Linked DNA regions of Oryctolagus cuniculus. The protein of the gene in region 1 interacts with the protein of each later gene in a biochemical or structural test. Links are inferred from orthologs where the notes say so. Each region holds a gene or a part of one and is shown on either strand. Other genes may lie near its edges. The genes, in order: PLCG1, LCP2 and SOS1.

Region 1 (3,652 bases):
CCAAGGGTCATGTCACAGTCTTCCCTCAGGCTGCCAGAATTCAATACCATTTTCCTCTTACTAGCTCACACTAGCCGCCATTCATCCCCAATCTCTGAGATGGGCTGGCATCCCTGTTCTTGCCACTTGCCTCTGGGTGATCTTATCAGCTGCCACCATGGCTCTCCACAGCACCTTCACAGTCCCAAGTTAGTATCTCTAGCCCCAACTTCTCCCCTAAACCCCATTCTACCCTCTTACCTACTCAGTACCTCGGCCTACACATGACATCAGAACACTGAACACACCCTGAGCTGAACCCCTGATGTGTCCCCGTGGACTTCCCACTTCAGTCAATGCCAACTGTATTTTCCAGCTGCTCAAGACAAAAGCAGACTCCTTTCTCTCTCATATGCCAAAATCAATCTGCAAGGAAATTCTTTATGGCTCTATCTTTGAAATACAACATAGCCAAATCCATCCACTTCCTACTCTCACCACCCTGATCCCAGCCTGCTCATTTTTCCCCAGGAATGCCAGAGCAGCATAGGATCTTCAGCAACACTAAGTCACAGCACACCCAGGCTCAGAGGGCTTAACCACGGGACAGCATCCACACCACCTGGTTTTTGCTCCCTCATCTCCCTGGCCCCTCAGAATCCCCTCTTGGCCGGCGCCGCGGCTCAATAGGCTAATCCTCCACCTTGCGGCGCCGGCACACCGGGTTCTAGTCCCGGTCAGGGCGCCGGATTCTGTCCCGGTTGCCCCTCTTCCAGGCCAGCTCTCTGCTGTGGCCAGGGAGTGCAGTGGAGGATGGCCCAGGTGCTTGGGCCCTGCACCCCATGGGAGACCAGGAAAAGCACCTGGATCCTGGCTCCTGCTATCGGATCAGCGCGGTGCGCCGACTGCAGCGGCAGCCATTGGAGGGTGAACCAACGGCAAAAGGAAGACCTTTCTCTCTCTGTCTCTCTATCTCACTGTCCACTCTGCCTGTCAAAAAAGAATCCCCTCTTACATTTTAAGACACACTTCACATACTATCTGAGCCCCTGTTCCCCAGCTTCAGGACACCCATAGCCTGTTCTGCATTTCCATATTGTCACTTGCTTTCCTCACTAGCTTGTACCAAGGCTATCAGAAGGCTTTCTGCAGAGAACTACTTGTGCCAGGACCCTCTGTTCTTCCCCTACTCTACTTCAGGCAGATTCTTGGGGTCCCCTGGCTCTCCAGGTAGCTGCTCAGAGGCACGGCTATGGCTCTGCTTCTCCTATTCATAGCTTAGTACCTACCGATCCTCCCGATTCCGATCCACTGAGTAAAACTGTTTCCGAAGCCACCTGGAGAGAGAAAAACCCGAGGTGAGGAACACTTCTCCACCTAGGGCCAGGCCTGGGGAGGAGGGGAGCAGGCAGCATCTGGGCATCCGAAGGCTGCAGTCCCTGCCCCTGCTCCAAGGCCTCTGGCGCTAACCCTCTCAGGGGTGGTTCTCACCTCTCAATCTGCAGAGGTGTAGCTGCCTGCAATGTGTCCTCCATCAGCCAAGTTAAGCCCTTGATCCACATATTCACTTCATCCTCAGACGTTGCTGTTGAGCAAGGGAGAATAGCTGAACTGAGGGCACACTTGCTATGGGGCCAGGAACCAGCAGGTGCTCCTCTTAACTACCCCCACCTCCTCTAGCCCTCTGAAACCCACCTTGTAAGCTCAGGGTCTTCAGGCGGAATTCCATCCCATAGAGGATGACAAAGCAGTGTGACTGGTCTGGGCGGAAAGCGGGGTCCTCTTGATAGCGATCGAAGTCCCGTGAGGTCTTTCCTGGGCGGATCTCCTTGATTTCACGAATGTCAACTAGGAAAGCAGGGAAGAGGCCAAGGTCAGGCTGGAGACTCCCAGAGTCAGTACCAAGGGCAGCCCAGTTTCCTCACTTACTTGCATGTTTTCTCTCAGGGAAGGGATCACAAAGAAAGACAATGCCCTGTCCCAACCTCCAAGGCCAAGAGCCAAAAGCACTCAGTCACACTGAATGATAAAAGACAACTGGGCTGGGTCCAAACTCAAGCCTTTGCTAAGGGCTGAGAGGTCAGAAAAGGCTACCTGGCGACAGGGAGCTCTCTATGGAGACCTTCCCCCATCTTTGTTCTCTCAGAATACAGGCTGGACATTCTGACCTGGAAAAGAGCTGAACTCCAGAGAAGCAATGGGTTCCCAAGGGTGTTCTGTGAGGATCACTTCATGACACACAGCACACCCAAGCAGGGGCAGGGCTGGGGATGGACAGATCCACATGGGTCTCAGAATCTCAGGGAGAAAGCAGGCCCAGAAAACAGGTACATCTCTGAGATGTTCCAACCCCTAAAGACAGCCTTACACAATCTCAGCAAGAGGCCTAACTGCCCCTAAGGCAACACTGTCCAAGCAAAGCAGCCATCCTGGACTGTCATTTCCTGATCAGCTATCGAAGGGCCCTGCTACCCCTGCCCTCCCAAGGCATAGCCCTGAATAGCAGGCCCTATCTATCCCATCTATAACAGTGGACACTGCGTCTGGCCCCAATCCCAAATCTCTTGCCACAACAGTACTGATTCTACCTGGGCCCAACTCTCATCCCCTGAGCATCTAGTCCATCTCCCCCATCCTCTGCTGAGAGCCCTGCCTTTCCTGTTGGTGGCCCTGCCTCCTAGTTCTCACCAACCAGCCATCTTCCCAGTCTTCTGAATCTTCATAAAACATCGTTCTGATCCCTGTAGACCCCCCCCCCCCCACACACACACACACTGCCCACCACCAGCTTCAGGAGAACATGCTCCTTCTGTGGCCCTCCAAGTTCTCTGTGACGGGGGCTCAGAGATTTACCTCCCCAGCTTTTACCTCCCATCTCGTCTGCTTTATCCAAACTAACCTAACTTAGGGTGACAACAACTGGGGTTTCCTGTCCCCATTTTACCCTGGTCCCTGGCCTAAGGGTACCCACCTATCAGGATCCATTCTCTCCCACCAAAGCTCCAAAGGAGAAGCTCCTTTCTGTAGTAAACATATTCTTGGGCCCACTACATGAATGTATGCTCTTTATCTTCCCCAGGCCAGACAGGGCACCTCCAGTGGTTGCTGAATAATTAAATGAACACATGAAAAGAGCAGGTTTACAGGCCTGGGGAAGGACAATGAAATGGGATGGAGTAAGCATGACACATTACACTCTGGCAGAAAGGAGGGAGCGAACTGGGTCAGAGACCAGCTTGAGACCACAATCTCCAAGGATGGAAGGAAGAGCTTCCATCAGGCGAAACGCCCAGATCAGAAACTGCAGAGCCACACACTCTATCCTTGCAACAGAAACCAGTAAGCTTCCAGTGCAGTGCTACTGTCATCCCCTCCTACACCTTCTCACGAAGGCACACACACATAGCAATGTATGCAGGCCAGGGCCTGTGTGGCCCACGGCATGGGCCCTTCCTTTCAACTACCTTACCAGGCATCACATGTAGTCCAGTAATGTGAGTACCACTTGGCAGGCGGCTGGAGGGCCAGTCCAGGGACTACTGCTAGGCAACACACACAGGCAGAGCCACCATCAAGCCCTAGGTAAATTTCAGCCTGCCCTGTGTTCATTTCCACTGAGCCCAGACTGAAAGCAAAAGAGCCTGACCCAAGTCAGGGACCAAAGCAGGCAATA
Region 2 (3,750 bases), on another chromosome or scaffold:
TCTGACAACAAGTTGCTCCGTCTATAGAAATGCACAGTCTGAGACTGGTGAAGAAATTAGAAGATTCCTACTCCTGTCTCCAGGGAATGTGCTTTTTGATTGAAACACATGATGTCATCAACAGTGAATAAAACATGAGCTGTAAACACACAGTGGAATCCAAGGCACCAGCTGTAGCAATTGTCACTTCTAGCTTTCTGATTTTTTCATTTGAAGGTTCTCAAGTTAAATGCATCTATTTGTTATGTGTGTATAAGGCAATTCCTCTGCTTTCCTATTTTACATATAGGGAAACTGAGCTCCCCAGATTTTAAGTCCTTGCCTAAGGTTGCACAGCACAGAGAAGCTCCCATCAGAAGGGAACCCGGGTTGGCCCAGGGTAGCGCCTTGCTCAGCCTTGGATGCCTGACGCACTACAGACTCACCCTCTCATTTCAATGGTAGCAGGCAGAGACTGCTAGAGACTAGGGCTGAGAGAAGAGGGAAGAAGGGGCATCATGCATGCGTCCCCCCACACCACAGCTCCCTGTTGCTGGAAGTTGTCTATATTTTAGGTCAATTGTCAGATGAATAGATATTCATCTGCAAAGCCCCAGCAGAGCAAGAACGTGGTGTAGACCCATGGGGTGGGGCTGAAGGGACAGGAGTTTTAACAGCAAAATGCTTGGGCTGGCTTCGGAGTTTAAGCGCCCTTCATGGCCCCTCCTGCTGGGCAGGGGTGCCCAGGACCACGGGCGAGGTGGAGAATGACCTGCCCTGTCACTCTGTCTGCATCTCAAGCCCTCAGAGCTGGGCTTCCTTGTTTACTTATTTAGAAGCCAGCAGAGGAAGTGGTAAAGGAAACTAGCCAAGTCGTTTTCTGAGAAGAGACCATATTTGTTCGCAGAGGAAGCTGCTGCTTTCTGGGATCCGACTACAGCAGAAAAGACGTCTGCTCCAACAAGGCCGATCCAGGGGCAGCTGGGAGTTGGGAGAGCCAAGGACGCCTCCAAGATCTGGATTTGGGGTTCTCTGTCCATGGGTGCAGCATCCACGCTCAACCTGTGAGCCCCCTCCTAAGACAGCGGCCATGGCACTGAGGAACGTGCCCTTTCGCTCCGAAGTCCTCGCCTGGGACCCTGACAGCCTTGCTGACTACTTTAAGAAGGTGAGACCCACTCTTTTGTTGGTGGTCGGGCTGGGAGTGCCCTCCATGGGCTGGGCAGAAGACAAGAGGTGTAAAAGACAGCTGTGGAGTGACTGGCCTCTCGGCAGCCTTGTTGGGAGAGTGAGCGCCATGGGAGACCACTGAGAGCTCCTTGCAGTGAGTTCTGGAGAGGAGGGTGGGAGCAGGAGCTCTTGAATGAGTAGGTGCCTACCATGTGCCAGGGCCTGAACTCGGTACACTGCAGCACTGTGCCATTGATCCCTCTTGACAATCTTCTGAGGTCAATATTGTCATCCCTGTGGCTCAGCTTCAAGGTAGGCTCAAGGAAGCTAAACAGCCCAAAGCCACAGGGACTACAGGTGGTAGTGACAGAAGGATTGGAGTCACTTCTGTGCAGTTTCAGTCTGTGCTCTGAGATGAAGAGAACTACATTCTAGAAAGGGGAGACCTGGTGCTCTGGGTGCAGAACAACAGGCAGGGAAGGAGGCAGGGGTAGAGGGTGAACAACGCTAGACATGGCGTTTGGCCACTCACTGCTCAGGGCCCAGAAAGCTGGGTCCTCAAGTTCTTACATAGATCAGAGTCTCACTGCAGTGGAGCCGGGACCAGGGTTGCTGTCCTACCTTCCAGACTTGGAAGAGATGCTCAAAGATCGTCTGCTTGTCCACCTGCTGGTGGGGATGACAGGACACAAGCCTGCCCGAGCAAGTATGGATCCTCTGTTCCTGTCTCTAGCATAGGATGCCTTGCAGGGGACATTTGCTCTCTTTTTTAAGATTTATTTATTTGTTTGAAAGTCAGAGTTACACAGAGAAAGGAGAGGCAGAGAGAGAGGGAGAGAAAGAGCGAAAGAGGTCTTCCATCTGCTAGTTCACTCCCCAGTTGGCTGCAACGGCCGGAGCTATGCCAATCCAAAGCCAGAAGCCAGGAACTTCCTCCAGGTCTCCCATGTGGGTGCAGGGGCCCAAGGACTTGGGCCATCTTCTACTGCTGTCCCAGGCCATAGCAGAAAGCTGGATCGGAAGTGCAGCAGCCCATATGGGATGCCGGCGCTTCAGGCCAGGGCGTTAACCCACTGTACCACAGCACCAGCCGAAGGGACATTTGCTCTTCTAACATCCTCTTCCCTGCAGGCTGGCACCACATTTAGTTGATACTGCAGACCAGCATAAAGAAGAGCTTGTAGCACTAAGACTTTACATGTCATCTCACTTAACTGTTTTTCCTGGGGAAACTGAGCCCCGCGGGGGTGGAATAGGCTCTCTGGGACACATAGCTGAACCTGAGGTCTCATAGTACCAAGGTATTTGCAGTGATGATGGTTCTTCCCCAGCCTAAAAACAAAAACCTTGAACCAGGTGTGGCATGGTAGGGGCACAGCCCCACAGAGCCTGTCGTTTTCTGTTTCTTGTGCATTTCACTTCTGTTGTCCCCTCTGCCTCCACCCCACACATGTATAAAGTCATAACAAAACTAGGTTTTGGGTTTGTAGATGCAAAGATCATTGGACAACTGGCCCGACTGGCCTTTGAAGAGTGTTTCTAATACTTCTCTGAGATAGGGCGATCAAAGGTAAAATTTGCCCAGATGGAAGTATGTGGTACGTTATTGCAATAAAGAAGGGAGAAAGGAGTTGAGAGTTACAGAGGGAAAGGCCCAGGAGAGGCTGAGGGGCTATTTCAAATGTGGTCAGAAAAATTTCACAACTCAGCTGACCGACAGAGAGTCTGTAGACAAAGTTCCTGTCAGCGCAGGGCGATAGGACAGACTGGAGGGCAGGACACAGCTCTCTGTCTGAGTTCGGGGAAGAGATGATTCTCTTCTTGGAGTTCTAAGACCTTGCAAAAACTGCATAGCACTGGGCCAGGTTCCCCTCCCGGCACAAAAGGACCCAGGTAGGAACAAGGAGGCAGAGGGGAATCTGTGACCCTGGAAGTCCCAGGCCATCTCAGTCCCCAAGAGACAGAACCAGGAGCGCACTGACTGCAAGTTCATTTGGGGATGGATCTTAGTGATCAAGCATACCCATTTAACGCATCAGTGGGTAGGCGTTTGGTGGGTGCAGCTTCTACCCACGTGTCAGGGTCAGGCTTCCCTCAGTGATACCACGCTGCCCAACTCTGGAGTCAGACACACCTTGTTGGAACCCTGGCTCTGCCACCTGCTAGTTTGGTGGCCTTCCCTTAGCTACTTCGCCTCTCTGAGCAAGTCAGTCCTCAAGAGAGAAAACATTGCTCAACACAGGGTCATCTGGGGATGGATCTTGGAAATAAAATGTATCATTTCACGGGTTGATTGGTAGATGATTGGAAGGCAATTGGTAGGCACAAGTTCTACCAAAGCAGGCAATTAAACAGACATGAAGGGTAACAAACCCAGTGGAATGGTTGAGAGGAGTAAAGGAAATAGTGTATGTGAGGCATTCAGCAGACAGAGGTATCAAAATGTTTATTGCTCCCAGTTTCCTGCTGTGTTAACTGGCCACTCATTGGTATGTGGATCGCAGGGCTCTAAGTCTTTTTACCTCAGATGTGTTTCTCATCCTGTATCTGGGATTAAGACCTAGGCCGTGTTTGGTGATGGCTTAATCCCTCCAATTCTTA
Region 3 (2,961 bases), on another chromosome or scaffold:
CTGTCCTCTGTCTCTGTATGTATTTTTAAAGAACTGCTTGAAACCAAATTACTCTTACTTTACAGATTAAAACGTCATATTTCTTTAACCTTATCAATAGCTTTTGGTTTATAAAAACATACCCAAAACTAACTTCAGAAGAAAAGAAATAAACATGACTACATGAATCCTTATTAAACTAAGCCCAAATATTCTGAGATGTTCATCTATCCCAGTTTAAAATAAACTATATCTAAACAACTGATGATACTATAACTGTATTGATTCCAATTTCCAGATAACAAGATTTTCTACTTTACCTTAGATGGAGAAGATTCCGCTGGGGCAGATTCTGGTCGTCTTCGTGGAGGAACAGGAGGGGGGACAGGCACTTCATCAGTGCCCTTGGTTAAACTTATAGATGATACTGAAGCAGATCCTGTAGGATGTTACATTTTAAAAACAGTTCATGGGAATTTTATTTCATTTATTAATCTTGAAAAGATTTAGCTGGAAATTGATTATATCTATTAAAAGAACTATGTAGAAGTACCCAGTAGTATTTCATTTATTAAAGCAAACTGCTATAAATGCATGCAGAAATTTCTTAGCAGAATTTTTAGAAAAAAGCTGCCTAAGACACTGTTATTTTGATTCTTGAACAAAATAACATTCCCAGTGTCAATCTGTTATTGGGATTTTTAATTGAGTCTGATTCTCAGATTTTTGGGAGAGATAACAAACTATTAAAAAAATCTTTGGAATGGTAATTTTTGTTAAGTTTTGTGATGGGTTCATTTTTGCCTCTGACTTTGTTAGTATAGAAATTCCCAGGTCTTTCTGGATAGTTCCTGGGAATAGAGTTTCTGATCCTAACCTCTGTCCCCAGTGCCTCTCTCCAGCAGTTCTCTCAGTGGATGCAAGGGAAAGAATCTACTGTCCAGGGAAGGATTTCTCCGCATTTTGCTTAGGTATAGGTTATCCTTAGCGTATCAGCAAAATCAGCCTCTAATCTAAAAACTGGAGCTGCGATGAAACTATTTAAGATGACTAAGGCAGACACACAAAGTAAAGCTTCTACTGAGAACCTGTCTAACAGACATTTATGGTGACAAGGGCATAATGTAGGTATGTAAATCATTACACTCTGAAAGACAACACATGTGTAAGTTAGCTAGTTTATAAATACTATAAAAATGGACATGAAAAAATACTTAAGCCATCCAATCACTAAAATTATACTTGGTAGGATTTTTTTTCCCCTTTAGGCATTAAGCTTTTGTCAGTTAAATGTTACAAAATAATTTAAAAAGCACTTTGTGTTCTGAATTATTCAAATGATCAACTACCTTTTTCTTAAGAGACTATGTATACTAACTTTAGTGTACAATATTTTCCATTGTATAAATTTTGAAATCTTTTTTATGAAAGGACAGCAAAAATATTAATCTGTAAGCTTAATATAATTAAAATAATGGAATTGAATGGTTAGTTTACTTCAAAAGCAAAGAGCTACAATGCAACTTAATGATAACTACTTGGGCCTTATCATGTAAATAGCTGCAGTTATTTGCCTCCAGCCTAAGCTGTCTACCAAACTATGTATAGCTGTGATTCAGACACTGCTTTAGCTGCCAGCATTCCCATATGCGCATGCATGCTCTTGCTGCTGTTTTCAAAGTTGAGCAGTAAAATATATTCAGAACTCCATAGTGGGAAAAGAGAAATGGTTACATGGGGGAAGCCACTCATTTAATATGTTCTTTTAAAAGAGGGAAAAAAAAGTTTTTAAAAAAGCATGAAAAGTATATAAATTTAAGCAAATCACTTATGATTAAAAGATAGCACAAGTGAGGGCCTCACTTCTAAGATGTTGCAAGCAAGGTACCAATGCTGCCAGACCCAAGACGAGTTTTAGCAGGAAAGGTTACACTTGGTTTGATTTTTTAAAGCCAAAGCAAGAATTATGAGTCTTAAACCAAATATACTAACTTGGGCCATGGGGCAGTGTTACTTGGATAAAGACGGTATCGCTGCCTGTGAAAGGAAACAAGAAAAAGTAGATTTTTCTTTCATTGATATATTCAACCCATATGTAAAAATTTATGATGAAAGTGTTATTCTTGTCATTCTAATTCTAAAGAATGGTGTAACAATTTTTAATAAAAACTCATTATTACTTACTTTTGAGAAGAAAAAACTGAGTTAATATTTGGAACTTTGAAGATGTTTTAGATTTACTGTTTGATGTAATAATTAAATGACAAATATTCACAAGAAAACTATATTATTGTAAGACTAAGTTGCACAGATTAAATCAAGCAAAGAATTCAGGGGGCCATTCAGAAATGTCATTTACTAAAAATTATTTTGAAAATTCAAACTTGTGAAAGAAGTAATAAATAAGAAATTATTTTATACAAATTAAAAAGAAAAGGGAATTTCTTAGTACTTTATACTTTTGAAAAGTGTTCCTGGGACAGGTATTCTCATCACAAAATAACTACAGCTCTGGATATTCAAACAAGCTGAAAGTGATACAGCTTTTTTCCTTTTGTGGCAATAAACACTCTAAAAAAATCAGTAAAAGTTTGGGGCTGAAAGACATTTTTTGAAGGAAACTGATAAATTTAAAGTGTCTAATTTCAACAATATTAAAAAATGATGGTATAATTAGTACAATACAGAAATAAAATAAAATCACATCCGTTGACTATTACAGGTTGCAGTCTTTTTGAAAGAATTATACAGATGCATACACACTTATAGACATGGATGTAAAGTTGGCTTTGAACATGTTCACATATAGCATGGTCTTAGATTCAAACACTTGGTAAATTTGGGGCACATCTTTGGCCTTATTTCTTTTAACTCATTGGTTGGTCTCGCCATCTGGAAAATATTCTTAAGAATTCTCTTAGAATTTTATGCTGTCTAATCAAGAGATAGGTTAGAAATTCTTGTCAACTGGATGCTGAACAA

Evidence for each region.
Region 2: the proteins of PLCG1 (region 1) and LCP2 form a complex in vitro, tested with the Homo sapiens proteins (2 studies listed by BioGRID). The link is inferred for Oryctolagus cuniculus from reciprocal best matches to the Homo sapiens genes PLCG1 and LCP2.
Region 3: the proteins of PLCG1 (region 1) and SOS1 form a complex in vitro, tested with the Homo sapiens proteins (2 studies listed by BioGRID and IntAct, with this or other methods). The link is inferred for Oryctolagus cuniculus from reciprocal best matches to the Homo sapiens genes PLCG1 and SOS1.

Annotation. Positions count from the first base shown.
Region 1 is NC_091442.1:17,781,673-17,785,324, forward strand, and holds part of PLCG1 (1-phosphatidylinositol 4,5-bisphosphate phosphodiesterase gamma-1), read right to left. Parts: intron 1,828-3,652; coding exon 1,675-1,827; intron 1,565-1,674; coding exon 1,471-1,564; intron 1,317-1,470; coding exon 1,269-1,316; intron 1-1,268. UniProt on the Homo sapiens protein: Mediates the production of the second messenger molecules diacylglycerol (DAG) and inositol 1,4,5-trisphosphate (IP3). Plays an important role in the regulation of intracellular signaling cascades.
Region 2 is NC_091437.1:57,184,318-57,188,067, reverse strand, and holds the start of LCP2 (lymphocyte cytosolic protein 2), read left to right. Parts: upstream 1-856; 5' UTR 857-1,069; coding exon 1,070-1,147; intron 1,148-3,750. UniProt on the Homo sapiens protein: Adapter protein primarily involved in signaling pathways within T-cells, as well as other immune cells such as platelets, mast cells, and natural killer (NK) cells.
Region 3 is NC_091433.1:163,884,167-163,887,127, reverse strand, and holds part of SOS1 (son of sevenless homolog 1), read right to left. Parts: exon of another isoform or gene 2,017-2,961; coding exon 1,972-2,016; exon of another isoform or gene 419-1,971; coding exon 300-418; exon of another isoform or gene 1-299.